Linked DNA regions of Nothobranchius furzeri. The protein of the gene in region 1 interacts with the protein of each later gene in a biochemical or structural test. Links are inferred from orthologs where the notes say so. Each region holds a gene or a part of one and is shown on either strand. Other genes may lie near its edges. The genes, in order: hadhab and hadhb.

Region 1 (15,514 bases):
TGGGGGTGTCCGCGACACGGTTTATATGCAGGTAGCGGCGCTGCGGCTGCTTTATATAGCGACTCGTTGCATTCTCCCTCAACCCAAATCCTCAGATCACGCATTTTAGCTAAAACGCTAACGTTAGCTTTCCTTGCGTTGACTGTAGAGTTGTGGGTGATGGTCACGCAGATGTGTCATGAGATTTGAAGCGTTGCTGCCTTTCACAGACACTTTTTCTGCACGTGCTGCAAACAGGATAGCCGTCTTCTATAAACTGTTCCTCGGCATTCTTCAAATATCCAAAAGATGCCCGTACTTCCCACTTTGTCTTCTTTGAGGGATTAAAAAATGAGGGATAAAAAATGTCCTCCTGAGCGCTGCCGTCTCCTCCTTTGGCCATTATTTCAGCTTTAGCTTCAAGAAAGTTTTGGTCGTAAACAACAAAGCGTGCATGTGCTGCCGGCAACTTCAGCAGATGATACGGTGGCTGGTAAGGGTCACCGCGCCTACACCGCAGCCACGGTAATCCCACCAAGATAATATAGTTTTTTTAAAAACAAGACGGTTATTATTATTGTCAACTTTTTTACCATGGTTTACCGCTACACCGGTTACCATGACGACCCTAAACCCCACACGGGTTTTCATACACTTTGAAACAGGGCTATTCAATTCTGGTCCTCGAGGGCCGCTATAGAGCTCCGGACCCCACGTGACTCTCAAGCCCTTTTCAGACAGACATTCTGGAACATTTGTGGACAATTCAATCCGGTTTTTAACCGGAACTGTGTTTTCAGACATGCCACTTTTGTACCGGAACTTGTCCTTTCGGCTGCATTCACACAGCAGGGAAAAGTTCCAGATGTCTGACGGCAGCGGGGGGTGGGGTGGGGGAATCGGACTTATGTTAAGAAGAACAAGAAGAAAATATCATTTCTATAGCGCCTCTCAAGATAAAAGTCACGAGGCGCTTAAGCATAATTCTGCGCACACGAAGACGCATAAGAGACCTGGATGATGAAGCTCAATGGTTAAAGGAATCACTGAAGCGGTGTGAAGCGCTCCGTCACACGTCTAGGCGGTACCGTAGGAGGCGAGCTGCCGTGGTTCGCCGCATTCTACAGCAGCGGGCTATCTGGGTGCGCACAGCGTCCCCCGGTCCCCTCCTCCTCTCCCTCCCTCTTGTCCGGAACTCTACCTCACCAGTCTGAAGCAGCCACCCTGTCCGTAACAAGTCCGGACCTGTTACTTGGGGCTTCGTCCGGATAAATTCTGGAACACATTATCCGGATGTTTGTATTCAGACAGAAAGGTCTTACGGACAGATTCCGGAACATTTCCGTTTTTCATGGCCTGTCTGAAGGGGGCTTCAGTTAGTAGACGCCATATTGGCAGGCAAAAAAGGTAAACAAACACGGATCGTAAACATGAACGAGATCGGCTTGGATTTTACTTCGTCGGAGTTTACTTCACACTTTAACACCGAATAAATCGTTTTATATAGTCAGAAACTAAATAGACTAAACATCTCCGACCCTTACCGTGCCCCTGGGATACTTTTTAAAAACGCCAGAAGCTGTCGGAGCAGACTTCTTACCGGACCTGGCCGGGGGACCCCTTGGGATTTCCCCGGAGGAACTGGCCCAAGTTGCTGGGGAGAGGGAAGTCTGGGCCTCTCGACGCTACTGGCCCCGCAACCCGACTCCGGATACGCGGATGGACAAATAGCATAGATTTACATGTAAGTAGTTTAAATGGAGTGCTGTGCTGTTTGAATGTATAAACTGAACGTCAAGAGAAATCACTAGTTTGATTTTTTTTCCATGAATAAAATAAATATGTCAGGCAGGAGCGTCTCAGGATCTGTCTGAGATCTGTCTCGGTGAAACAGATAATAGCAATCCAAAGTGCTTTTTATGTGTGATCCTACAATCGATCAACCATTGCTTAAAAATTAAATACAGCTTAGCCGGTTAATTGCTGTGATCATAAAACACGGAAACGGCAGCACGCAGAACTCACGAGGCAACGTTTTACGTGATGTTTACTTGTTGCTATGAGTAATAAGACATAAAAAGCCACGCCAAAATAAGTTTAGGAAGCCCACTAAGAATCGTATTAAAAGCATTTAAAATAAATACCATACACAGTTGAGGAAACGTTGGTTTAAGTACCTGATATGAAGTGGTCGCTGCATAAGCGAAATCCTTTACTGTTGTTATCCCACAATTTCATTTTAGCCCGGCCACTAGTGCGCTTTATTGTGATGATCCAACGTTTGCGGGGTTCCGGATCTTGGGGAATCCTGTAGATGGCTCATTCCTTATGTCGTCCGTGTCTGTTCTGCATCTTGGGGCACAACAGGAATCTACCATATTTCCCGTTTGATTGAGTTTTTAACAAATAGTCCAGCTGCGGGCTTCTGCCTGCCAATATGGCGCCGTTTCGATTTGAACTGTTGCATGCCGGGAGAAGTGACGTCAACTCCCGGAGCTCTATAGGCACATTTTAGTTTTAACTCTGCTTCAACACACCTGATTTCAATCAGCAGATGATTAACAGGCTTCTGCAGAGCCTGATGAGCTGCTGCACAGTTGATCCAACCACTGAATCAAGTGTGTTGGAGCAGAGAAACCACTAAAACGTGCTGGATACCGGCCCTCGAGGCCCGGATTTGAATAGCCCTGCTTTAAACCGTCTGAGTTATGTTTAAAAGCTAAACAGAGACCTTCCTTTGCCATCATCTTGGATGGACTGATGTGCTTCATTACAGCATGAAAAGCAATGGAGTTGCAAAAGTCCGTGAAAAACCGCCGCACAAGTGGTACTCAAAAATTTTTGACAAGGTTGGCAGGTCTGCTATTGTCAGTTCTGGTCAGCAGGTGGCGTGCTTGGCAAAAAAAAAAACATATCACAGTACATGATAAGATAATCACTTTTATGGTTTTTAGAAAAAAACATAATAATTCCTGAAAGAGGAAAACGCTGAAAAAATACTTTAAAGGAGGAAAATCACTTTTTTTGCACAACAGCTGTTTTGCTCTGCCATGTTTCTGTTTTAAATATAAATTCCTTCATTCTTGAGTAGTGACGGATAATCCATGTTTACTGCACAAAGACAGGACTCGTGTCTCTGTTATAAACTGCCTCGGTGCTGCTCTTTCACACTTGAGTCTTTTGCCTTCCTCAACATTGCATTATTAATCACCATTCATCATAACAACTTTGAAACATTTACAATGAATTCTGAATTATTTATGCAGAGAAATTCATTGTAAATTAGATTTACTTGGCTTTGTTGTTTTCGCTGAAAGCTTTTATTGCTGCTAGCTGCGTCCACTCTGGCTGTTTGTAAAGAACGTATCAAAACGATGGTGCGTGCATCTAAAACACTTGACTCTCTCCGTCCAGCATGATCCAGGCCTGCAAAACCTCAGAAGAGATCTCTAAACTTTCTCAGGAAGGACAGAAGATGTTTGAGCAGATTGAAAATTCTCCAAAGCCCATCGTTGCTGCCATCAACGGCTCATGTTTAGGAGGAGGCTTGGAGGTAAACGAGTCAAGTGTGTTGTGAAAAGTGAACTTATTGTATAAAGGTTTACTATAACAGGCATCTTTTTGTGTGTTTTAGTTTGCCATTGCCTGCCAGTACAGAATTGCAACAAAGAGCAAGAAGACTGTTCTAGGTACCCCTGAAGTGATGCTGGGCCTTTTACCTGGAGCTGGTGGGACACAGAGGCTACCCAAAATGGTTCGTATTGAAATGATAAATTATGCTTTTGGTGTTCAATCAGTTAAGAAGTGGTTTGGTGTTTATCTCAGTTATAGTGTGTGAAGCATTCTGGTGTAGCTATCTGAACAAAACCTGCAGAGTAATCTGGTTATTGCTTGTAATTGGTTTAAGAAGCTGACGGGTGTCGGTACAAGATCGGCTCGGGGTCTTTCGACTGCCGATGACGTCAAAGTACGGCAAACCCACTCGGACAAAATACACTACACATCTAAACTGCTGGAAAGAATTTAGCAGTTTCGTTATTAAAATAATGTTTCTTACGACGTAAGTTTGTGTTTATAATGGTATTTGTAAAATAAAACACTATATTTTATTCATAATGTTGAACTCCTCTTTGAGCACATCCCTTGAAGAATCATAGGTATTAGAAACACCTGTGAAATTGTATTTGCAGGAAAGAAGTGTGTCCCGTTTATTGAAGTATTTTGTGTTTAGAGTTTTTGACGTCCATGCGTAGTTCAGTTACGCTCATAGCTGCTAGCCAAAACTCTGGAGTTAAAAGTTTTCTGGCTTTACTAAAATACCTGTCTGTACTTATTTGATTGATGGTAGTTTTACTTTCTATTAGACTCCAAATGTAATCATTTGGCACGTTTCTAATTCATAATTTGTAAGAATGTAATCGGTGATATTAGCATTAGCATTCTTATGGGTTTTTCCATGTATATTAGCATTGCGCTAACCACGCTCTGCCAAATTGCAGCCTTTGCGATTAGAAAATCTCCTTTCGTCACATCGCAATTTAATTGCACATGCAGTTAATCGTTCAGCCCTAATATGCATGCAGCTCTATGCTAAAAGTGTATTTTCGAAGAGGTAATGATGGATTTCTTTGTAAAAGTTGTCCATCTTTCCAACAGAAAAATTTGCCTGGACCAACGCAACGTGATAATAATGTAACATGATTACGTAATTCCGTAAGGTTCATGTTCAGCCAATCAACTGCTTTGATGTCATCGGCAGTCGAAGGACCCCGAGCCGATCTTGCACCCGAGCAGATCCTGTACCAACACCTTCTACACTGGTAGCCTGCAGACAGCAAACAAGACAATCCCTTTTCCCTAGGGATAATCATGCCCGGTGCCCTAAAACCCTGATAGAAACCACACTGGTGCATTTTATCTCACTGGGGGGGGGGGGGTGGGGGGGTGGGGGGGGGGGGGTCGCTGGAGTTTTATTTGTTGACAATTAAAATTGCTCCAACGTTTTCAAAGTTAAAAACATTTCTTTTAATCAATCAATCAATCAAATTTATTTCTAAAGCGCTTTTCAAACAAAGTGTGATTCAAAGTGCTTTACAAAATGACCCCATATTCCCATAACAGGTTAAAAACATTAACAAACATATGCAAGCACACACGCACACACACACAGACTCACACACACACACAAGTAAAAATTATATTAGGCTGAGTCCAGATGAGCCAAGTATGGTAACACAAGGAAACGCCGTCAGAGGAGCCGTCTGTCCCGGCAGCATCAGGTCTTCCACACTAAGTCAAGAGCGCTCAGTGGAAGGGGAGCATAGACCCCCACCTATAGAGCGCCCAGGAAGCTACAGTCGACCACCGCTCCCGGGGCAGAGGGCCCCCACAGAGGAGACACTGGATTAAAATGAGTAAAAATGTAATAAAAGAGCTAACATAAATGACAAAAATTAGAAAATAAGTAATAAATAAAATGATCTAGACAGTAAAATAATAATTTAACAACGGTAGTTTCTGCTTCAGCCCTCCCCCCCTCCCCCTGCGCAGCGGCCGCAAACTCACTGATGCGCCTGCAGCCTCTCAGAGTTCCTGCTGCTCTAAACATTAAAATAATTATTTCATTTTCTGTTCCTCACTTCTGATGACCTTCAATGGTGTCTGTTTGTTGCAACCAGCAGGTAGAAAAACTAACTTTTTATTTGACTATTTTTCTGTCCTGCCTGTTTATTATCTTCCTGCATCTCCTCTCAATCCTAAAGAGAAACTGCTACCTGGGTTCATATATATTCACCTTATGAGTTACCTTTGAACTGCAGTTCTAAAAGATCTACCGACCACAAAAACAGCGAAGTGCCGCTGCTCGCCGGCCGCATCAGTGATCGGTGCGTCACCGGAGGACAAAACAGGTGATGCGCTCCGCTCCACAGCAGCAAAATGCATCAGGCGCAAATAAAAGACAGAAAACATTAAAGGAAATGAGCCGACATGAACAATCATGTGTTAAATTAGTTTTTGAGTTGGCGGCACCTGATTTGATAACGTTACTGTGGCCGTGCTCAGGACGCAGATGTCTGGAGCGCGTCAACGATCAGAGCTTTGCATGCGCAAGCCGGTTAAGGTTAGGATGGGGGTGAGGGGAAGGTTAAAAAGGTCACAATTTGGTCAAATGTCCGTTTTAGGGCATGTGTCAGTACCGACGCTCTGGCACAGCGCGTCGCCTCCCGACGCGCAGGAGCTCGTCACCTGCTGTCTTTTCCGAGGACTGCATCTTGCCGGTCATTATCACGTGACAGCGACTTGTCGATGACAAGCATAAAAAGTCACTACAGAGCAGTGAGGTCGACTAGTCGACTAGTTCATACAACCCCTAGTTGGCACCAGTCGCAGTCAAGCAGACATCATCTAAAGATCTTTGATTTGGCTTTTCAGAAACCTTTTAGATTAAAAGAACCTGAACTTCATCTTTTCCAGCATCTTATTTATATAAAAAGCAAATTTTTTATCCCAAACATCTCTGGTAGTTTAATACAAGCAGATAGGAGAATCTAAGGTGTGATTGTTTGTTTAGTTTCCTAAAGGAGCAGAATGAACTAACCAGTTAGTGCACATCCAGGGTATCCACGGGTCCTTAAAACGTCTTTAAAAGTCTTAAATTTGCTTTTCCAAATTTAAGGCCTTAAAAAGGGCAAAGAATCCTTAAGTACAGTTTCCAAAGGTCTTAAATAACCAAAGACCCAATAAACAAGATTCTTTTTTTTTTTTTTTTTTTTTTTCGTGAATATCTAGTTAGTTTTCAGCATTTTTTGTGAACGATGTTTGCGTAACCGTACACATTCAGTTGGGTGTGAAACGGGGCTAGTTTTAGATGGTTAAGCTAGTGGGAGCTTGCGCCATGAGGAAGTGCAAGTTTAATTTTAACTGGATTGCTAATCCAACGTTCGCAACGTGGTTATCACCGGTTCCAGGCAATAGCTGGAAATTATAGTTTAAATTTAATTTAAGAAATATCTTAAATTTGGTCAAAGTGGTCTTAAAAAGTCTTAAATTTGGCTCCCTTAAACCTGCGGACACCCTGACACCTCTTCTCGCACCCTACAGGTTGGTCTTCCCAATGCCTTTGACATGATGCTGACAGGCAGGAACATCAGAGCGGATAAAGCCAAGAAGATGGGGCTCGTCCACCAGCTCGTCGACCCTCTAGGTCAAAAATCTTCTTAATTAGTTTAAAAACCTAAACCTGCTTTAAACAAGGCTGTCCTGTTGAGCTCCGATGTTGTGAGGTAACTTTGTGTGTGTTTTCTGACAGGACCGGGGCTGAAGAGTCCAGAGGAAAGGACGATCGAGTATCTGGAAGAAGTAGCTGTTGATTGTGCCCGAGGCATCGTCAACAATAAGATTCCTCTCCACAAAGAGAAAGGCTTGATGCAGAGTGGGTGTTGAATCGTTGTCCCCTGAGCCGATTTAGTTCTGATCCAAACTAAAACTCAGTCTCCACAGAAATACAAGACTATGTGATGAGCTTCGAGTTGGTACGGAACCAGATTTACAAAACGGTCCACGATAAAGTCATGAAGCAGAGCAAGGGCCTTTATCCAGCACCTCTGAAGATTATAGAAGTAAGTTGCCCCGTCTCCGTTCTCACTGGCTGCATGGATAGATGAAAGTTCTAGCTCCACTTGGTGGATTGGTCTACTGGATTTGTGTAAAGTTTTTTTTTTCTCTTGTTTAGGAAACAACCCCCTAATGTCTTATTTAGTTCACTTTGGATTCAGAGACACTTATTTAAGATTTATTTCTAACTATTTCATTTTTGTACATTTAAAATTTCACTTTCCTTTTACTTCCTGTTTGGTGATCTCCTGTTTTCTCTTCTAGTGTGTGAAAACTGGGATTGAACAGGGTCCCGATGCGGGATACCTGGCTGAGTCTCAGGTAAAGCCAGTTCGTCTGCGTCTCTGTGGCATTTATTGTTTACATCCGTAAACCAAACATTCATAAGTCACCTGTTTGTCACAGAGCTTCGGTCAGTTAGGGAAGACCCCTGAGTCTGCAGCTCTGATCGGTCTCTATCACGGCCAAGTAGCGTGCAAGAAGAATCGCTTTGGAACTCCTGAAAGAGAAGTGAAGTGAGTGTAGTTCTCACATGTGGTCCTGATGGGGGAACAGACGCCAGCTACACCGTTACCTGTTCTTGTTGTTTACCTGCAGAACTCTGGCCATCCTGGGAGCGGGGCTGATGGGAGCAGGTATCGCCCAGGTGACCGTGGACAAAGGCGTGCACACGATCCTAAAGGACACGACGGTGGAAGGGCTGGCCAGAGGAGAGCAGCAGATTTTCAAAGGGTCAGCAGGCTTCACGCTTTAATAAAAACGTTGTTTTTATAATAAAAGACTCTTAAGTCTAACCAGACAAAATATTTGGATTAAGGCTCAACGATAAGACCAAGAAGAGGAGCATCACGTCGTTTGAGCGAGACTCCATCCTTTCCAACCTGACCGGCCAGCTGGATTACCGGGGCTTTGAAAAGGCTGACATGGTCATCGAGGCCGTGTTTGAAGACATTAGCATCAAACACGCCGTGCTGAAGGAGGTGGAAGCGGTGAGTCGGACTCCAAACAAATGACTTGTTGGACTGAATCTAGTCGCTTTTCATTCTGACCCAAAAAGATGTATGACTGCAGGTGGTGTCCCCCCACTGCATATTCGCCAGCAACACGTCCGCTCTGCCCATCAAGGACATCGCTGCTGCCAGCAGAAGACCAGACAAGGTTTGAGCCGTTTAGAAATACGAAAGAGATTATTAATCATGTGTAAAAGTTCTGATGGGTTTCCCTCCCTCTGTAGGTGATTGGAATGCACTACTTCTCTCCAGTGGACAAGATGCAGCTTCTGGAGATCATAACCACTGATAAGACATCAAAGGACACCACGGCATCCGCCGTGGCGGTCGGCTTGAAGCAGGGCAAAGTCATCATCGTTGTCGGGGTGAGATTTGGTGTTTGCTTATGTTACCTAATGGAAAAGATCAAAGGTTTGATAACAAGCTACTCACTGATGATTTATGTTAAAGGTGCAGTATGTAAGAATACAGTGAGAAAATCCCAAAAGAGTCTAATGTTTCTGTCATTTTGGAAGGAAGGTTACACTGAAACACGTTTCATATCCAGCTGGCTGCGGGGATTGTCGGTTTTTCTCCTTTCAAAACAAAGGAAGGAGGGACGTAACTACTGTTAGCCATCAGTGAGTGTGGGGGTGACGTGTCTCTTGCGAGCTAATACTGCAGCGCCGACGACTGTAATTTGACGACGGTCGGCAAAAAGCTCCAGAATTGTTTAAAGTGGTTGCAGTAACCAAATTTTACCACAGGATGTCATTTTTTACTTCTTTTCTACATAATTCACCTTTAATGTTTTAATAGGAGTATTATTACCCACAATTCTTGGCAGGATGGACCTGGATTCTATACAACTAGGTGTCTAGCCCCCATGTTGGCTGAAGCTGTTCGGGTTCTTCAGGTTAGTTGTGTTTTATTTTAACGGTTAAATTACACACAGAAATGGTTTTTATTAGTGTTATTCGTTATTTTTGTGTCTCTTCACAAACAGGAAGGAGTCGACCCCAAGAAGCTGGACACACTCACCACAAGCTTTGGCTTCCCCGTAGGCGCGGCGACGCTGGCCGATGAGGTCGGTATTGATGTCGCGGCGCACGTGGCCGAAGACCTCGGCAAAGCCTTCGGCTCCAGATTTGGTGGCGGAAACGTGGAGGTTCTGAAGACCATGGTGAATCAGGGCTTTAAAGGTACTGCTGGTCCCATTAGAGAACCGTGTTCATACAAGTTTATTTTACATTTATTAACGATGCTTTTTGTTTTTGTGAAGGCCGTAAATCAGGAAAGGGTTGCTACGTCTACCAGCCAGGACGCAAAGCCAAAGACGTCAACCCAGAGATTGGAGACATTCTGGAGAAGTTTAGGATGACACCGAATCCCGCTGTGTGAGTCAGGATTGAACCCACTACGGGAGCAGCGTTCCACACCATCTCTGAGAGTTCTTTTAGCACTGTGAGTAGAAGTTTAAAGGATGTTGGGTCTTTTCTGCAGGTCGTCGGACTCGGATGTGCAGTACAGGCTCGTTTCTCGATTCGTCAACGAGGCCGTTCTGTGTTTGCAAGAGGGCATCCTGAACAGCCCGCTGGAAGGAGACATTGGAGCAGTGTTTGGGCTGGGGTTCCCGCCCTGCCTCGGCGGTGAGACTTTACCTTCATCACCTTCACTGGAAACAGCCGAACCCGATAATCTCTGTTTTGTTCCACATGAATCACAAAACTTAAGAACACTTTTATGCACCATTTTCATCTCTTTCTTTTATTGTTTTGATTATTTTGGTCTAACCCAACTTTTCCATGCTGCCAGGGCCTTTCCGCTTCGTGGACACCTTTGGCGCTGACAAACTGGTCCAGAAGATGAAGCAGTTTGAAGCCGTGTACGGGAACCAGTTCACACCCTGCCAGCTCCTACTGGATCATGCAAGAGATTCTAGCAAGAGATTTCACAAGTGATGGCGTCGCCCTGCGTGCCAGTAGCTGAGGATAAACTCCAGACCGCCACTAGAATGTGCCTGACATTGGTATCACATACGGGACAAACAGGCTGACAGCTTATTGGTGCACCAAACTCAAAGTGCTGTTTCATCAACAACTCCTGCAATAATTCCCACCTTCATGACTTCATGACTGAGCGAGATGTAGAGTAAATAAATAATTATTACTGAGGATCCAGTTTGAGGCAGTGTGAATGTTTTGCAGAAAAACATGAGCTCTTTGAGTCGAGTGTCCACTAGAGCCTCTAGAATGCCTACCTAATAAACTGGCAGCTGTGTGAAACTAAAAGGTGGTTTTGTTAAATTTTTACTTAAATAATAACTTGATGTGTAGATTAAAGGGCGTGGAGGCTGATACACACACTGCATCTGTAAAGACATTTGTGGAAACTTCCAGCTGCCAATTTCATTGTTTAATACTGATGAATGTTGAGGTTTGGGTTCATTAAGTGTCTTTTTGTACATTAAAGCCTTCCTTGTTTGGAGATTTATGTAAATGTGAAGCTTCAATAAAAGACTATTGAAGGAAATCTGCTTTTGTCTTAGTGTTTGGTTTGAAGGCAGGTTGGACAAAATAAAGTCTTAAAACCTGCCGGACTTGTTTACTTAAGTTATTTAAAGAGCAAGTCACCCCCAAATCACATTTTTTTTGCTGATAAAACTATATAAAGGAGTGTCTAATCATGCTACAGACACGTGTAGTCAATAATTTGGCAGTTCATTGCATCTTGGTTAAAATTAAAATATTCTGCCTAAAACTGTCAGTGTTGCACCGTCGTCAGGGAAAAATTCTGCATTGTATTTGAATTTAAATCTGCCACCGCTATTGGCTAAGGTATGCTATGATGTCATCTGGTATATTACGACGTCATAATGCCATTGTGAGCCTATGTGTGTGTGTATTTGTTAGCGGCTCCGCCCTCTCGGTCTGCCAAGCAACAGCATTTGTTGCATTTTTCAAACATGAAGTGGGAGTGAAGTAAGTTTCTTGTAGGGGGTGACTTGCTCTTTAACCCTTACCTAACATCAAAGCATTTTTGGTGCTAAAATGACATTAATGTTAGAAAATTTAAACGTTGGGAAAGAGTTAAGATATTAGGAGATGGTTTAAGTAGAATCTCTTAAAGGTGCATTATGTAGAAATAAAGTAAAAATGACATCTTATGATAAAATGTGGTTACTGGCACCACTTTAAACAACCGGAGCTTTTTGCGGACAGTCAAAATTGTCGGCTCTGCAGTTTTAGCTCGCAGGAGACACGGCAGCCCCACGCTCACTGATGGTAGACAGTAGTTGCGTCCCTCCTTTGTTTGAAAGGAGAAAAACTGACAATCCCCCCAACTGGATATGAAATGTTTCAGTATAACCTCCCTTCCAAAATGACTGAAATATTAGACTCTTGTGATTTTTTCATTGTGAAATTCTCACTATATTCTTACATACTGCACCTTTAATCCTCCCACCGTCCTAATGGGTGTGACCCAGCGAGGAAAGTTGACCATTGAGCAGGATTGATGGTTTATCCTTTGAGATCCATGTGGCAGGGGTGAGGTGGTGCTCACTCCTCACCCCTGCCACATGGACCCAAGCGATAAACCATCAGCCCTGCTCAATGGTCAACTTTACTCGCGGGGTCACACCCATTAGGACAGTGGGAGGGTTAAACTAAAAAGCCTTTGGGTGGCAGTGACAAAGCTCTAGTCTGGGGTCAAGGCCCTTAACCAGGGATTGGATTGGGAATGGACCACAGCTCCAAATAAAAGCTCGAACAGGACAGGCGAGTGATGGGTGGGTTGGCGTACTGACCTGTCACTGTGACCAGTAGGCTGAGCTGAAAGGAGAACCTTCGACTGTGACCTGTGGGTAAGTGTAAATACAAGCAGCCGAAATGAACTTCCTACACAGATTGGCTATGGATTCACCCTCGGATGGTTGAGAAACTCAGCAGTCACGGGTCCTCCACATAAGGAGCATCTGGTACCAGATGTGTTCCTCAGGGCAGACCCAGGACCTGCCGGAGAGATTACATCTCACTGCTGGCATGGATGAGGTGGCGATGGAGGTATTTGCAGCAGAAGATAAATTTATCATTTAGAACTGGTAAAGACCTCATATTTCTGCCTTTGTTTTTGTGGAGCCAAGTACAATATGCATCAACTGTGAAGCAGTAAATGTCAAATCAGAAGACAGGCTGGACTGAGATGTCCACGCGGAGACCTAAAGGGATGGTTTTTGAAGCAAGTTTCTGAGGAAAGACTATTTCATATCTAGCTGTCGTTACCGGTTTGGAGATTAGTTCCGACTACTAACAATGGGGCCAGTTGCAATGTGAGGCTTTTTTCAGCACAATTATAAACTGTGACTTTAATGTTTCACTACAACGAAATTTGACCACAAATATTTAAGTTTTTCCTCAGAATATCACAAAGAAATTAATGTAAATAGCGTGCTTGTGTGACAGGGTGTGCATCCTGTCACTGTTTCCCTATTGATCATGCACCCTGACTGCTTTGCCAGGGATATCCCTTTGGCTGACTGGTTAGCACGCATGACACTCGCCTGGGAGTCTGGGGATCAAATCCCCGCCCAGGCCCTTGCTTCTCCACCTTGCTACATTTGGCATGGTTGGCAGGATCCATGTGTTACTGTGAAGTAGGTCCATGGATTTGAAATCTGTGGCACCCTGCGCGGCACATAGGGACATGCTTGTGGAAAGAGGGGGAGAGATGTGACAGGGTGAGCATGCGCCCTGGCTACTTGGACACATGGATATCCTTTTGGCTGACTTGTTAGTGCACGTGGCCATCACCCGGGAGTCTGGGGATCTAATCCCGCCCGGGCCCTCAATTCACCTTGTCACACTTGGCAGTGAAAATGTTTATGTCAATATTGTTAGCATAACTGCAGCGACATTTCTGAGATTAGTAGCAGGCTATTTTATTATGTATGGCAGTCCTCACTCAGACTAGCCGTTAGCTTATCAGTCTGGTCGTGTAATCTCTGTTTAATCCTCAAAGAGTGTGTGTATGCGCATTTACAGTAAAAAGGTAACCAAATTTATAACCCGCCCAGTATATTTATTTTACGTCTTCTTTGGAATTGATTTGATTGTTTGTTTGTATCTCATTCATTTGAATGTTTAAGGACCAGACGGACCAGACGTTATTTTTGCAGGAGTTTAACGTAATGACTCAAAAAGTACCGCATATATATGTAGGCGACTATCTCAATATTATGAGATAGCTAAGTCATAATTTTGAGATTATATATATATATATATATATATATATATATATATATATATATATATATATATATATATATATGAGAGAGAGAGAGAGGGAGAGAGAGAGAGAGAGAGAGAGAGAGAGAGAGAGAGAGAGAGAGTTATCTGAGTGGCGGGAATGGGCTTCCATAAAAACGCGCACGTTTGGACATAAAATTATTACAACCAGATTACTCTTTTCATTTCCTCATCAACATAAAAACGTGTTTATTTTTAAACTTCTTTTATTTGTTTTACGCTCGCGTGGTAATTGTTTGGGGCTAATTTGTTGAAGCGGCGCACTCATTCGTCGCGCAGGTCACGTGTCTGGTCTCCATTGTCTGCAGAGCAGGGTGTGTTCCGCCGGGACTCAGAGCGGGCTGGGTCGGGCCGGGCTGGCTGCTTTTCCCCTCACATCAGCATCTTTAATTATCCTGTGACATCGCTCCATGATGCCCCGGAAAGGAGGAGACGCTTCGGCCTGAGCGCTTCTCCATGATGCTGATGCTGATGACGGTGAGGCGTGTCTGACTTCTTGTTTTGCCGCTGCTGATGAAACTGAGGCACCTGGAGAAGGAAGATAGAAATAAATCTGCGAGGATGTTTGTTGATTCTTGGTAAATAAAATGTCTTCAGCTAGAGCCTGCGAGGCGGTGCAGGTGGTGGTGCGCTGCCGGCCGTTCTCCAGGAGAGAGGAGGTGGCAGAGTGTGAGAACATTCTGGAGATACATGACAAACTGGGACAGATCACCATCCGAAACCCGAAGGCACCGCCTGATGAGCCAATGAAGGTCTTCACCTTTAACTCGGTGTACGGTTGGAACTCAAAGCAAAGTGACATCTATGATGATGCTGTGAGACCTCTTGTAGAGTCTGTGCTCCAAGGCTTCAACGGCACCATCTTTGCTTACGGACAAACCGGGACCGGTAAGACCTACACCATGCAGGGGGTGTCCAACGACCCGGAGAGGAGTGGAGTCATACCAAACTCATTTCAGCACATTTTCACTCAAATCTCCAGAAGTCAGAATCAGAAGTATCTGGTCAGGTCTTCGTACCTTGAGATCTACCAGGAGGAGATCAGGGATCTCCTGTGCAAAGACAACAACAAAAAGCTGGAGCTCAAAGAGAACCCTGAGTATGGCGTTTACGTGAAAGACTTGTCTTCGGTGCTGACGAAGAATGTCACAGAGATCGAGCACGTCATGAACATTGGGAACCAGTCCAGAACGGTGGGCTTCACCAACATGAACGAGCGCAGCTCAAGGTCTCACGCCATTTTTGTTGTAACCGTGGAGTGCAGCGAACTAGGCCCGGATGGTGAGGACCACATACGTGTTGGCAAACTGAACATGGTTGATCTGGCTGGAAGCGAACGCCAAAGCAAGACAGGCGCTAAAGGGAAGCGTCTGAAGGAAGCTGCCAAAATCAACCTGTCCCTCTCAGCGCTGGGGAACGTCATCTCAGCCCTGGTGGATGGGAAGAGCGCCCACATCCCTTACAGAGACTCCAAACTCACCCGCTTGCTCCAGGACTCTCTGGGCGGCAATGCAAAGACGGTCATGGTTGCAACAGTTGGACCCGCCCATAAGAACTTTGATGAATCCCTGGCAACGCTCAGGTACGCCAGCAGAGCCAAGAAAATAAAGAACAAACCACGGATCA
Region 2 (15,111 bases), on another chromosome or scaffold:
CACAACTGACTATTTTCCTCTCATTCATTGCTAAAATACCATTTAGGTTCACAACAAGGCAAAAGCAGTCTTTGTAGACAAAACAGTCAATAAATGTGATCATGTTTTTGTTGCTGGGGTCAAGACTGCTGAGATGGTTACATCCATTCATCTATTTGATACCTTTCATGCAGTGTCCTCTTCTAAATATTTTAACACTTCTATGCCGTTTACTTTTTTTGTACACCTGACAACTTCTCCACATGACTCAGATCCAGTTACTTCTTCAATTATGTAAAAATTTGATTAATCAATTATTTCAACCCCATTCTTCAATAATAAAGTTTATGTTTGTTTTTCTGACTTGAATCTATCAGGTCAGAATCAGTATTATTTTACTTCTTTAACACTATATATATATATATATATATATATATATATATATATATATATATATATATATATATATATATATAAATTTAACCTATTTCAATAACCAGTGTCGATACAGGATCGGGCCATGGTCCTTCGACTGCCGATGACGATCCTGCCGATGATTACTGCAAATCTACTCGGCTTTCACAAATACGTTTTGGAAATACATCAGCAGTTTTGTTAATAAATTCTTGTTTGTTAACACCTAAATGTTTTCTTTATAATTGAAATTTGTTAAAAAAAATCACAATATTATCTTTGTTTTGAAGAGAATGTGAAACTGCATAAAACCAACATCGGACTGACAAAAAATAGTACAGTTCTTATATGTGAAGCCACATCTATTTGTATTAATGTGGAGTTCGTCTCTATATTTCCTTAGTTGTTATCTAAATACATTCTTTGACTCAAAATATTGCTTGGTGTCTTTCAATAAAGTTCTTATATTTTATTTTGCCCCAAGAGCTTTTGAGGGTCACCGTTTACCATTTGCTTATATTTTACATTTCCTTTGGAAATTCAAACATATTTTCTCCAAAAAGTGTTGATTTTTGGACTACAGGACTACAACCGCTAAGACTACGACTGCAAATTTGTTCTGACCAATCAAAATCATAACGCGATAACGTAACTTCCATAAGCTTCATGTTCAGCCAATCAACTACTTTGACGTCATCGACAGTCGAAGGACCCCGAGCCGATCTTGCACCCGAGCAGATCCGTACCGATACCGGCCACAAGGACGTTAAAAATATTGCCTGTTAAAAACTTTCTATATTTGAAGTAGTTTAAAGTAAAGTTACAATTACTTTATCATAATTTTAACAACAGTTAAAATACAAAAATTTTATATTGTGTACACACATGTTATGAGTTTGTAAGTGTTCGTATTTTTATTATTTTTTTCAGGGATAATTTTGGTCAGCTGCACAATCGTCTGGGTCTTTTTACAGAGATTTTGTAGTTCAGCGTGAGTCTGGCGTATCGCTGAGCAGGGAAGCAGTGGTGGTAAAGGCATAACATCTGTAAAGGTAAGACAAAATTATGCCACGCTCTTGACTTTAAATCAAAAGGGAGATACTATTATTTATGAACTTAGAAAGGTAGCTTTTTTATATTCGAGTAATGTTGCTGTAGCCAACCGCTAGCTAGGTTAGCTAGCTTGCGTTCATCGTTTCAGCGTCTTTGTTTTGCGTTACAAACCCGCTTTTTAACGTGGTATAAAAGTGCATTAATCTTATATCTAAGGAAATAAACAGCTAGTCGATTGTACACGTCTATGATGTAGTGTGAGCCTGAGATCAAGCACTTATGTGTCTGTCATTCTGGTGGAGAGGAATGTAGGTGAAAGGTCACAGTCGCTGTTAGGGGGTAGGGCAGTGTGACCCGTCGTCAGGTAGAAGCCCAGAAGGGCTAATAAAATGAAACCCTTAGAGATCACATTAGTTAAAACGATAAAAACATGTTAAAAATATAGATCCATTAGTCTTAGACAATAATTATGCTAGTATTTTTCTAAATGACCAAAGGTGAATATTTTTCATTCTTAAATTACATTGCCCACTCTTTATTTATGTAAAGCCAAACTGTAATATAATAGTTAACTGTCCCACTGGACTCAGAGGTTGAAATCATAATCAAAGTTGAACTTTAGTCGTGAAAGAAGCATCTTAGTATTACATGAAAATGTGGTGTTGCTGTTAATGCAGCAGCGAAAAGAGAAATGATAAATGACCCGCACTTGTATAGCGCCTCTGAGAGTAAGGACTCCAAGGCGCTTCACACTACAGTGTATCATTCATCCATTCACACACTCACACACACACTGATGGTGATGAGCTACGATGTAGCCACAGCTGCCCTGGGGAGCCGGGATCGAGCCTGCAACCTTCCGATTACTGGACAACCCGCTCAACCTGTTGAGCTACTGCTGCCCCCCCCCCCCCCCCCCCCAAATGCAAGATGCTGTTAACATGACCCCAAAGGATTATTCAGACTACGCCATAAATAATAATCGTGATTTCTTCGAAGGAAGCCAAGATTTCTGGAGGTTTCTTGAGTATTAAAAATTAAAAAAAAAAACTAGATACACTAACATTTTTAATAAACTTTCTGTGTTGTTGGTGTATTTTTTCTTAAATCATTGTTTGTTTCGATCTAGAACATAATGGCCTCCATGCTGTTGAACACAATGCGGACCTGCACTGTTGCCCCTTCTTGGGCAGCTCGCATTGGTAAGATGTCTTGGTCCTTTTTACGGTTTATCTGCAGATAATTACTCCACAGAAAAAGGGTTGCTTCCATGAATACTACACAACGTTTAATTTTCATTTGTCCTAAATGATGAAGATTAAACTGTACTGGTGCAACAGCGGCTGTTGTTTCTAATCGATCATGACAATGATTTGCTGTTTCACACAGGTGCACGCTCTCTCAGTACAACAGCACAGCTTCAAGCTCAGGGTAAGGTAACATTATTACATGAACCGAAGTTTGAATTCACGCATTAGTCTGCTTAAAATGTGGAGCCAACAGTTCAAACCTTCCATAAGTGTGAAAAAAAGACTTATTTCTCTCATTTTTTTAATCCCCACACAAAACTAAGTGCTTAACTTCATACGGTCACATTATAAAGACTTGTTTGTGTTTTTCTTTTCTCAGTTCAAACAAAAAGCAAGAAGACACTGGCTCGTCCGGGTGTGAGGAACATCGTTCTAGTGGAAGGAGTTCGAACCCCTTTCTTGTTGTCAGGAACCACGTACGTGTCTGCGGAAGTCTGTGCTTTCACATAGAGACAGTTTAGTGTGATTAAGAATGTAAAATAAATACTTTTCATTTAAAATTTAATTAGATAAAAAGGGAAAAAAGCCAGATGAATCTTTGGGATCCTGTTCTTGCTGCTTGATGGGACATTTTGACTATTCGTTTACAGATATGCTGATTTAATGCCTCATGACCTTGCCAGGGCAGCTCTTAAGTAAGTGTGTGGCTCTAGTGTCTTTTTAATTAATTTCTCATAAAGTCTGCCATAAAACTGTGGATGCTAAAGTTCATTTCTAATTCCATTAGCCTCATCGGTTTCCTACCTTTTCCAACGGTTTTTTTAGGGGTCTGCTAAACCGAACAGGAATCCCCAGAGATGCTGTGGACTACATTGTGTACGGAACAGTTATTCAGGAAGTCAAAACCAGCAACGTGGCACGAGAGGTACATGATCAACACGTGCTGGATGAACACGCTGATAAGCAGGCATTAGCCGTGGGTCCCCGTGTGTCAACGACGTCTGTTTTTCTGTATTTATGTAACTCCAGGCAGCTCTCGGGGCGGGGTTCTCTGACAAGATTCCAGCTCACACCGTCACCATGGCCTGCATCTCCTCCAACCAGGCCATGACCTCAGGTATGTTGACACATCTCCACGTTGTTTTTTTTTCTTTTCTTTAGTTTTATTGGTGTTAGCATTAAATCAAACTAACATTTCTACAGTTTACCCTGTTCCTCCCTCAGTTTGACCTTTATCTCCTGTTCTTCAGCTGTTGGACTGATCGCTGCAGGCCAGTGTGACGCCGTTGTTGCAGGCGGAGTGGAGTTCATGTCCGACGTTCCGATCCGCCATAGCCGAAAGATGAGAAAGACGATGTTGGCCCTCAACAAGGCAAAAACCGTCGGACAGAGACTCAGCCTGGTTGGCAGCATCCGGCTTGCCCACCTCTCCCCCGAAGTTAGCATTTACGTTTAATTCTTTTGATCAGATTGTGGAGTTTCTTCCTGAGTGTCGATTGTGTGTTTCGGCAGCTTCCCGCCGTGGCGGAGTTCTCCACAGCGGAGACGATGGGTCACAGTGCAGATCGCCTGGCTGCTGCGTTTGGCGTCTCCAGAGTGGAACAAGACGAGTTTGCGCTACGATCACACACACTCGCCAAAAAGGCCCAGAGCGACGGGCTGCTGGAGGATGTGGTGTCCTTTAAAGTGCCAGGTAAGCTCTGCTTCTCACCTCAACAGTAGGGCTGTGCCATCTTACGTAGATTCTTGCTGTCTTTTTTTTCTCTTGTCATAGCTTTTTGTTTTTTTCCACTTAATTCAGCACACGTTAATTCAAGCTACCAAATACCGTTTACTCCACTACTTTATTCATGTAAGATCGAACAAATTCCCTACGTAGGCTTGAAACCTACAGGATAAACCTGGATAATGAAAGTTAACAGGTCAGTTTAGTTTTTGAACTGGGATCAGCTGAGAGTCGGCAGAGATGTGGCGCTTCTGGTCTTTAAAACACCCGACCGTTCACGTGGGGCTGTGAGGACCTTTAGGAGCGTTGCTTCAGTCGGCATAACACTTTAGTTTAGGGAACACCAATTAACCATTAATTAGCTGCTAATTAATATGCATATTAGTGGACATCTAAGTCTGAGCTAGTCATTATTAAGCACTTATAAACAGCTTATTACTAATGCCGTCATTCTAACATTAACAGGCCATAAACTAAGAGTTTTATCTAAATAAGCCATTCATAATGGTTTGTTACCTGTTTGGTAACTGGTTTGTTGCTGATTAACACACATGCTAAGTAGCTCACATCAACTGACCCTTTGCACGTGACGTCACGCCACTCATGTGACCGCCCCCTTCGCCATGCTGGACGGCAAAAAGACCGTTTACACCCGTAGAAACTCCAGTGATGGTAGTCAAAACAAGCCAGTTTGTAGCCTTGTATCGCTTTTATTTAGTTGATTTGACAGTAAAATGGTTTTAGCTTGCTGCGTGGTCGGCTGCACTAAGAGACAAGGACGTAAACTCAACTCGTTTTTTACTTTTAATAACTTTGATGGAGACTGATGACGGAGATGATGCAGCGATCAATCAAGCGGACTAGCAGGCCTCAGATTTGCAGCAAACATGTTTTTACCTGGTAAGATTAACGTTCATTTATTTCACGAGGAAGACAGGGATAAATGTGATGTGTTTATACTAGTTATTGATAATCCTGATGGATGGGTATTTCACCACGGAGGCTGCGCTCCGTCCACTGTAGTGTAAAGCGAGACAATTATTAACAATATTAAAGCTCAGATGTATGATTACGTGTGGTAAAATGATGTTATTTATTTATATGAGCGTCGGCATTCAGAGATCTTCTCATTCCGGTGTGAGAGCAGCAGCTGAACCCGGTAACACCACCAGCAACAGAAGCTGGTAGGGATCCGGACTCAGCTTTGGTGTAAAATGCTGTTTACAACATAAAGTTATAAATCCAAAGGGGTGAATTTAGGCAAAGTCAGCAACATGTTTACATCGGTGAACAGCTGCAGAGAGAACGTAAGCTAACGTTGGTAAGCTAGTTAACATACCGCTCTCTATGAGCCCCCGCTAGATGCGCTACTTCTTCTGATAACTGAACTGGGCATGAACTAGTGGAAGGAATGCTGGAGGAGTTTTGTTTTTGTTTTGATCACAAAAACAATTTCAGGCTCTACTTTTCCCTTTGTTTACTACTCGTGTCGCTCACTGTTTACATGCTTTAGCCGTCCACCATGGTGGACCCACGTGATTAGGTGACGTCGGTGCAAAGGGTCAATATGTGGCTTTTAAAGATGTAATTCAAGGGGAACATATTCTTGCCTTTAAGTGGTTAATTAATACAGAACTACTAGTAATTAGGTATGAACAAAATCTGACTTTAGAATGGGGAACATATTCTTGCTTACAAGTGGTTAGATTGTTGTTTAGGCTCTATTAACATGGAGTTTGGTGTTTATTTGCATATTACCAGAACGTAATATTTTTGGTTATTAATGCAGAATAATTATTCCCCTTCAATTACTTTGTTACAAGCCTCACATTGATGATATTGAATCAGCAACAAACCATTATGATTGGCTCATTTTGATAAAACTCTTAATTTATGGCCTGCTAATATTAGAATTACAGCGTTGGTAATAATCATCTAATAATAGCTTAATAATGACCAATTCAGACTTAGTAGTCCACTAATATGTATGTAAATTGGCAGCTAATTAATGGTTACTTTGTGTCCCCTAAACTAAAGTGTTACCAAAGCAAGTTACGTTCAAGCTAACAGGAAGCTTGTGACAGCGAGGAGACGGCGCCCACACCCTTTATCCCACCATCATGTGACCACTTTTATGTGGCCAAAGGCTCCCGGGTGCTGCCTCGGCTTTGCAGCAAAGCAACGCCGGAGATTTATGGAGAGGCCGGAGTTGCGGGAAAGTTTAGTTAATCCTTCCTCGGCTGTTTGCTAGTTAGGAGGAATAACCTCTGGCTTCTTCTCTTTATCTAACCCGGGATGGAAACGCGGAAGGTGTGTTGCTGTTGTGCTTTTAGTTTTACACAACTCTTCTTTAATCTGTCTGACGAGTAAATCTCACACTCAGTGGCTGAAACTAATAAAAAAAAAAGCTTCCGCCGTTGCGGGTTTGTTTTTTTCGCTGGTCCGTCCCGTAAAGTGTCCGGGTGGCACAAGTAACTTTTATGTTCCTACCACGCCCGACGGCTGTTTTAGCATTTATTTATAATCGGTTATGAACATTTATGAATAGATGTTTGAGTTGGCACGTGTCTCACCCCTACTGATTATTATCTTTACTGTCATTTGTTTTGTTTACAGAATGTTTAGGGGAACAAACTGTGGTTAAAAGTCTGTATGTTTGTCTCTTCAGGTCGTGATATTGTGTCTCAGGACAACGGTATCCGCCCATCGTCCATGGAGCAAATGGCCAAACTCAAACCTGCCTTCGTTAAACCTCACGGGACCGTCACTGCCGCCAACTCGTCCTTCCTGGTAAAACTCGCCTGGACTCTCGGGGTCTTTCTGCTCCGGTGTGATGGAAACTCATCAGTTAGAACTTTATTCCACCATGATCTTCTCCGCTAGAAGTCTAGATGGAGCTTTTTATGTCTCTGCTTGTCTTTCAGCTTCTTCTCTTCCGTCACGTTTGTCTGATTTTTCCTCGACTGTAAATAAATGTACGTTTATTTCATCAGACTGACGGTGCCTCAGCTGTGCTCATCATGTCTGAGGAGAAGGCTTTGGCCATGGGTTTTAAGCCCAAAGCGTACCTCAGGTACGTATTTAGTTCTTATTTTATTATGTTTTGTGCTTTGATGCTAATCTGTATATTTTTGTTCTGGCAGAGACTTTGTGTATGTGTCTCAGGACCCCAAAGATCAGCTGCTTTTGGGGTGAGCTTGTCATCTTCATTGGAGAAAATTTATAATTTACATTTTTCAGCCTTCTGAACATCTTTTTGACCCTTTCAGGCCGACGTACGCTACACCTAAAGTCCTGGAACGAGCCGGCTTGTCCATGGCTGATATTGATGTGTTTGAGTTTCATGAGGCGTTCGCAGTAAGTCCTCTCCGTAGACGTATAGAAAAAAACTAAACGTTAGCTTAATTGTTTGTCAATTTAAACATTAGGAGAGATTCATCTTTAGCTCGTTACTATGGTAACCGTGCGTATGCTTGTTTTTCAGGGTCAGATTATGGCAAACCTGAAAGCCATGGACTCAGATTGGTTTGCTCAGACGTACATGGGCAGGAAATCGAAGGTAACATAAGATCTTCGGAGCACATCGGGGTTTCTAATGCAAAATAATTGGAGAATTGTTTGTTTAAGTGTGTAATTAAAATTAAAATTCTGCACAAATTTTCATATAATTTAAATGTCAAACGTGCAAAAAGGTTCTAGAAAGTGTTTTCCACCCAAAAATGTTGGAGTTCCGTTATTATCTTTGTTTAACATTAAAGAGCAAGTCAACCCCTACCAGATTCTAACTCCACTCCCACTTCATGTTTGAAAAATGCAACAAATGCTGTTGCCTGGCAGACCGAGGGGGCGGAGCTGCTAACAAATACACACACACACAGGCATTGTGACATCATAATCTACCAGTTTACATCATAGCATACCTCTTAGCCAATAGCGGTGGCAGATTTAAATTAGAATACAGAGCAGTTTGTACCTGACAACGGCACAACACCGCCAGTTTTAGGCAGAATATTTAAATTTTAATTAAGATGCACTGAAGTGCCAAATTATTGACGGCACGTGTCTGCAGCACGATTAGACACTCGTTTCTTTAGTTTATCAGCAAAAAAAAGGTTATTTGGGGTGACTTGCTCTTTAATTATGGTTATTAGTGTAAATGTTTGTTTATTTGCAAGCAAACAGAATAACAACAATATATAGTTAATAGAAAAAAATACTGCAGGAGAGGTAAAGAAAACCACAAGTTCTTATAAAGCCACCTCCTCTGTGACATCAACTATTTCAGCAGCAGGGGTTTAATATTGAAATTTACATCATTTTTCTTTGTTGTTTAAATGAATGAAGTCCAGTTATGAACTGAGTTTCTTCTAAAGGCAAGCCCTTTATGTTTAGGTGTGTTTTCCTTATTAACTCATTCACTGCCATTGACGACTAAAGTCGTCATTTGCATGTTTTTACTGTGTGGGCGTCGGACGAGCCCCCGCACCGTGAGAACAAACATCTCAGCTCTAAAGCAGATCTTCATCTGCACACGTCACATGATCAGGAAGCAGAAAATCCATGTGTTAGGAGATCGCTTTGGGCCGCTGCTGTAAAAAAAGTGAGGCGCGAACCGGAAAAGCTTCTGCCGATCACAATTCAACAACGTATTATGAAAGAATGGATAACGCTCGAAACACGCGGATTCTTCCTGATGTAAGAGGCGAGTCTCTGCTTTGTTTTGGTTGTTTTGGCGTCGACATCATCCTAGTGCGCAACGTTCTGTGACTCTTAAAAAAACATTGAGAAACGCTGGCAGGGAAGGGGTTTACCGATCAGGAAACGGCTGGCAGCGAATGAGTTAACGTTCCGCACAGATGCAAATAAAAATGTCTTGTTGAATAAGTTTGAATATCGGGTGAAAAAAGGCAAATCACTAGTTAATTATACATAGATATACGATAAATGTTCACGTTAAATATTGTCAGACAGTCTATAATTAAAATGTTCACCCTGGCCTAAAGCTGCCTTTCTGCTCAGGTCGGGGCTCCTGCCATGGAGAAGTTCAACACTTGGGGGGGCTCCTTGTCTCTGGGCCACCCGTTTGGTGCCACGGGCTGCAGGCTGGCAACTACTGTAGCTCATCGGCTGAAGAAGGAGGGAGGCCAGTACGGACTGGTGGCAGCGTGTGCTGCTGGAGGACAGGTAACCAGAGGCCGAGCCGTTCTCAACCTGAACGTTACCGAGATGTATTTAAATGTTCTGTCTCTTCCAGGGTCACGCCATGGTGATTGAGGCCTACCCCCAGTAATGCACGCTCCTTCGTTTAGATCCTGATCTTCATCGTGACTGCTGTTCATGTCCCTGCTAACATCTGAACGATGGTGTACATAAAAGCTGCCTTAATCCAACAGAAGGGTGGATGTGTTTGAAGGTGTGAACGAGACTCGGCTCGGAGGCTGCAGAGGAAGGTTTTCTGGATTTGTCAGCAGAGTCTCAGAGTCTAATGTAACATAGCAAAGTTTAAAGAGCTCAGCGGAGCCGTGGTGATCTAATGTTAATAAACACTGTAAGATGTTTTTCATAATTAAATGGTGTGACGATAACCACAGTAAAGCCTGGGTCTGTTGCTTTTCTAGTGCTACCTAAATGGTCTAGAGGTATCAATATAATGTTTGTGATGCATTTTGTTGCAGTCGAAGCAGAAGTATTTAACCTGCGTCAGAGGGCCTGGTCCCCCAAAGTAACCCCCACAGGGCCACCTTATCAACCGCCATTTTAAGACAACTCCTCCCAGACTAGCAGTTAGCTCATCATTCCAGTGGATCGTAAACTGAATTTCTCCAAACAGAGGCCACTCAGGAAGCTTCTACGACAGTTTCTGTTCTAACTTTTAAACAACACAGTTAAAAATAGCTTTTATGCGTTTTCTGCAAACGAGGATACACCTCCAGTATCATCAGAATGACTTTTTATGCTGTTTTTAGTCACATTTGGACTTTTTTGTTCAAAGAATCAGAACTCTTTGCTGATAGAGGGCCTTGACACATGGACAACTTCAAGCAATCGGCCTATGTTTTATTCAGCAGAGATGGAAACCATTGTGAGGAAAAGATCAATGTATAGAGGCCTTTGTGCAGTGGATGAAAACAGAATTTAGGCAGAAGGGGTGTGGAGTCTGTTAAAAGTCTAAACAGCCTTCCAAATTTGCATTGCCAATTTTTTTTCTACTTGCATATTTTTTATGGAGTCTCCATACCCAGATGTGTCAGCAGTAAACCTGCCCTGCATTCCTTTGCCTTAATTGATTGTGAAAAAATGCTGCCTGCTTCTGACGCGACGACTGATGTTAATGAGGAGGTAAAGAGGTGTGCTGAGGCTTCCTGGTGATTTAAAACAACATTAATATGGAAAATTGGGAGCGTGACTGGCAGATGACTTAAAAGTTCAGCGTGCACTGGTGTCGTCTATACGGTGGGAAAAAAAAAACAACTTTTACACCCGCTAAAAGCTTTGGCTAATTGACAGCGGATTGGTAAATTTATATCAACACATTGCCTCCTCTCTGCTTTGGTGTGTGCGATCCCCTCAGCGCTCACCGGGGAATCTCTGCTCAGCACACACACACCTCTCAGGTTGGGGGGCTTGTTAACATAACTTCAGTCAGACACTTCCGTTTAAAATGTATTTAAAGATTTAATTCTTCCAGTTTAAGGAATCCTTGACTCGGAGCGGGGAGGAGCTGATTAATGCAGCCGAGCCTGTCACGCGGGCTGCAGGCAGAGGGAATAAAACCAATGTTTTACTGCCAAGGCAAAACGGAGCTCAAATGTAAATAGCAGGGAGATAGACAGAGAGGGGTTTTGTGTTTATAAAGCTTCAAAAAGCTCCTCAACCCTGCGAGACACCAGAGACACGCAGACACACACCGACATAGCGAGCCGCCTCGCTGCCTCAGCGGGGCTTTGATCAGACGGAACCTTTTATGGGGAATGACTAGCGAATGCACCCGCTGCTGTCACTACAAATCTGCCTCACGGAGCGCGCGGGGAAGCGGGGAGGGGAGGAAGGAAGGTGCGTGGAGGATGTTCGGCGTGTTGGCACGGTGAAGGGAGCCGGGGAGAGACTGGGAGTACAGCGGCGTCTTTCATCTCGTCGTAGCCGGCTCACGCAGGGCGGCACCTGCTGAAAGCTGCACTTAACTTCCTCCACCTGCTAGGTGCGCTGTGTGTGTGTGTGTGTGTGTGTGTGTGTGTGTGTGTGTGTGTGTGTGTGTTGTTAGACAAGATGTTTTACAGTGCTGCACCATAACAAGGCTGCTACTGTACATGCATCTGTGATAAAAACACGATGAAAGAGTTAGTTTATTTACTGATTAGTTTTTTATCCCTATTTTTTTTCTCGTTGGCACTAAAATGTTGCCAATTTCACTAATTTTTTTTGGAAATCTGTTGTTTTTTGGTTTTTGTGTGTAGCTGATGCAGCAAAAAGGTCCCAATAAAATTATAATTAACGAAAAAAAGCACAAAAAATACATTTTCAAGTTAAAATAAAAACACAAACTTCAACTACAAAAATAAAATCGGGGTAGTTTTAAATAAACATTAGCTAATTACTCATTTTTCAAACTGACAATTCCTATTTAATTAGATATTTTTTTCCTGTTGATGTTTCTTTTTGTTTTTCTGTTTAAAATTAAGATTTGATCATATTTATCAAAATATGACAAAATAAAACCTAATCAATGAATATGCTCCAAATTCATCTGGAAGACGTGTAAAAATGTGCTTTAACATGTTAATGCAACACATAAGAACATGATATTTTTTCTATTTTTGTTTCAAATTCACACAGAAGACAGATTTTGCCCCATACAGCACACCATATGACGATGGTGCCTATCAGGTGGGGTACACCCTGGACAGAGAGCCAGTCGATCGCAGGGCAATACAGAGTCACACAGGACAAACACACACACACACACACACACACACACACACACACACACACACACACACACACACACACACACACACACACACACACACACACTCACACCTAAGGACAATTTGGACAGACCAATCCCAATCAACCTAACAGTCATGTTTTTGGACTGTGGGAAGAAGCCGGAGTACCCGGTGTTGCAAAACAACATTGTTTGTTTTGTGTCAGACTTGTAAGGATGAACGTATTGCCACACTGGTGAAGCACTCTGACCTCTCCTTGCTGCAGCATCTTGTTTAAGTCACATTGCTGTCTCTTTAGGTTTAAGAAGCGAGGGCTTGGTGATGGAGCGTGCTTGGATCTGTGTTTTTGATTGGTTGGATGTAAGTAATGGCTCTAGTTTGAAGCTACCCAATAGGGTTTAATGGAAAAATGAAACTTTTATTGATCATTATATATCGTTATTGAATTATTACTATTGAGAATAAAAGCAAAAGGTGGTGAAAGATGTCTACATTATTTTCATAATAAAAATTGTTAAGGTGAAGTTTTGAAATCTTATTGCTAAAAAAAGCTAACTGTTTTAGGACTTCTTAAACTCACACATATGTTAGTGCATCTAATGTTTAAAAAGTGTTTCATTAAAGAGACAATGTGTAGTTTTCACCGTTAATCTCTGAAAATCGAAATGTTGAAAATGAATTAAATGATCCCACGGTTTAAAAAATATTGGCGGCTTTGTATCATATAACCATAAAAATTGGGTTTAAAATACATAGAAGCGGGTCTAAGTCTCTGGAAGACGCCAAATTAGATGCAATGTTTCCTTCTACAGGAGCCCGTGAGGATAAAAAGCAATTCCCAATTTGTAACAAGCAGGTACAAAACTTTTGCCATTTATAAATGTTGTTTTACACATTGACCTTTTCGCTTGTTGCCAGTTTCGGCAAGGTGGAGAAACGAGGTCCTGGGCGGGATTCGACCCCCACACTCCCGGGTATGTGTCACGTGCTAACCAGTCAGCCTGGGATATCCCTGTGGCCAAGTAGCCAGGGCGCATGATCAATCGGGATACAGTGACAGGAGGCTGGAGGTTAACTATCAGACGAAGTACTTGTTCAAAAATTGCACCACCAGAGATTTTTGACCCTTATGGCCATCCATTGGTAAGGTCTTACTCAAACACAAAAATACTGCTTGCAGTGATTTAGGTATGCACTGCCCTTTATCACCTCGGAAAATACACTCAGTCACTTTAAAGTAACACTGAGCAGTATCCTGCTCACTGACCCTACTGGTTGAAAGTGTAACTGTCGCAAACAATCCTACTGCGGCCTGCAGAAGCTAGCGCTAACAACAAGCTAACACAAACATCCAGTAGCTGGAGTAAATAACGTCCAGTAGCAACAAAGCCAGGTCCCCATCAGTCTGTGATTTTGTAGCCTTCTGTAGCTCCCTCAGATTAGCGTAGGCAGCACCGATGTTCACCCTGGTTTTAGCTCTTTGCTTCACGTCCAAAGACATTACTCTCTTACGTTTACTTCCAGGCTCCGCCATGATACCGACAGAAAAGTAAACTTCTTTTTCTTCTTATTTTGCTTTTTATTGATGATAAGCAAACTGAAAAAGCTAATAGTTAGCATTACAGCTAACAGCTCCACAAAACTATCAGTGGTATCTGGCCAGCAGAGGGCAGCAGAGTGGTGTCATAGATGAAACAGGTCAAGTTTCTAACTCTACAACCACTGAGATCAATGTTAAGGCTCTAGCTTAAAATTAAAAAAACTATTTATTGTTACTTTAATATTGTTTTCCTGTAAATGTATTTCAAAACTATTTATGAGCTTAAAATGTCTTGGAGCGTTTGCGACTTTTATTGTGAAGGAATTTCCTTGTTGACCTCAGTGGCTGCAGCTGCAGAAGTAGTTAAATGACCGCACCTCATATTAAGTAAAATGATGTGTTTTTATAGTTTAATATGTCAAAATGTGCAGAAACTGCAGACATAGATGAGTTCAGGAGCACAGTGGGGTTAATTTCCTCACACTCCCTCTGGAAAAGTCTTCTTTCAACTTTTTCTGACAATAATTAGATATTTTTTTCTCGACATTTCTACTTTACTCAGGAAAAATACGTAACTTGTTCTTGTCACCTTTTTGTTTGTTCACCTTCTCGGTTGTGCCTAATATGCCATCACTACTGAAAGTACCCATGCGTGTGTTTTGTTTAAAATGTAAGATGGGAAGAAACGACAAAAACACCTTCTGATACTAATCCTAAAAAGTACACCTGTGCATTTATTTATTAACTCACATGAACTTCTATGTTTAATGTATGAGTCAGTAATCCAATGTTCGTGTATTATTTGACATTTGTTACCAGTAGATTACGAATTCTGTAATCGAGGTGGTCCACCTTTTCACAAATTTACAGCACAACATGCTAAATTAATGTCAAACACAACTTTAAAGGAACCAGAATCAGCCTGAAATGAGTCCAGCCTGATGATATCAGCTGTATTTTTACAACATACATCACCATCCTATGACCCGATCGGCATAAATAGATCCCGAGGTCTAAATAGAAGGAAGCAAGCCTGCAAATCTGAGTTTTTTTTCAGGATTTTAAGAAACTAAATAATTTGCACTCGTTTGTATAAGTGTTGGATTAAGTAAAATACTCTGCCATGAGCATGCATAAACTATAAAATCCAGTCTTCCTGTCTGCATGGAAACCGTGACGCTGAGACCGTTAACTCGCTCCAGG

The links.
Region 2: the proteins of hadhab (region 1) and hadhb are reported together in a solved structure, tested with the Homo sapiens proteins (2 studies listed by IntAct, with this or other methods). The link is inferred for Nothobranchius furzeri from reciprocal best matches to the Homo sapiens genes HADHA and HADHB.

Annotation. Positions count from the first base shown.
Region 1 is NC_091758.1:20,997,214-21,012,727, reverse strand, and holds the end of hadhab (hydroxyacyl-CoA dehydrogenase trifunctional multienzyme complex subunit alpha b), read left to right. Parts: intron 1-3,393; coding exon 3,394-3,532; intron 3,533-3,613; coding exon 3,614-3,733; intron 3,734-7,080; coding exon 7,081-7,183; intron 7,184-7,288; coding exon 7,289-7,411; intron 7,412-7,479; coding exon 7,480-7,598; intron 7,599-7,857; coding exon 7,858-7,914; intron 7,915-7,998; coding exon 7,999-8,108; intron 8,109-8,190; coding exon 8,191-8,325; intron 8,326-8,410; coding exon 8,411-8,582; intron 8,583-8,664; coding exon 8,665-8,751; intron 8,752-8,827; coding exon 8,828-8,968; intron 8,969-9,429; coding exon 9,430-9,498; intron 9,499-9,588; coding exon 9,589-9,784; intron 9,785-9,864; coding exon 9,865-9,979; intron 9,980-10,085; coding exon 10,086-10,231; intron 10,232-10,397; coding exon 10,398-10,543; 3' UTR 10,544-11,114; downstream 11,115-15,514. Other genes in the region: kif3cb (kinesin family member 3Cb), read left to right, coding at 14,476-15,514. UniProt on the Homo sapiens protein: Mitochondrial trifunctional enzyme catalyzes the last three of the four reactions of the mitochondrial beta-oxidation pathway.
Region 2 is NC_091742.1:11,816,962-11,832,072, reverse strand, and holds hadhb (trifunctional enzyme subunit beta, mitochondrial), read left to right. Parts: upstream 1-1,324; 5' UTR 1,325-1,445; intron 1,446-2,575; 5' UTR 2,576-2,581; coding exon 2,582-2,648; intron 2,649-2,835; coding exon 2,836-2,877; intron 2,878-3,075; coding exon 3,076-3,172; intron 3,173-3,346; coding exon 3,347-3,391; intron 3,392-3,521; coding exon 3,522-3,621; intron 3,622-3,725; coding exon 3,726-3,813; intron 3,814-3,946; coding exon 3,947-4,134; intron 4,135-4,208; coding exon 4,209-4,389; intron 4,390-7,090; coding exon 7,091-7,212; intron 7,213-7,415; coding exon 7,416-7,495; intron 7,496-7,565; coding exon 7,566-7,613; intron 7,614-7,691; coding exon 7,692-7,779; intron 7,780-7,906; coding exon 7,907-7,981; intron 7,982-9,441; coding exon 9,442-9,606; intron 9,607-9,676; coding exon 9,677-9,712; 3' UTR 9,713-10,017; downstream 10,018-15,111. UniProt on the Homo sapiens protein: Mitochondrial trifunctional enzyme catalyzes the last three of the four reactions of the mitochondrial beta-oxidation pathway.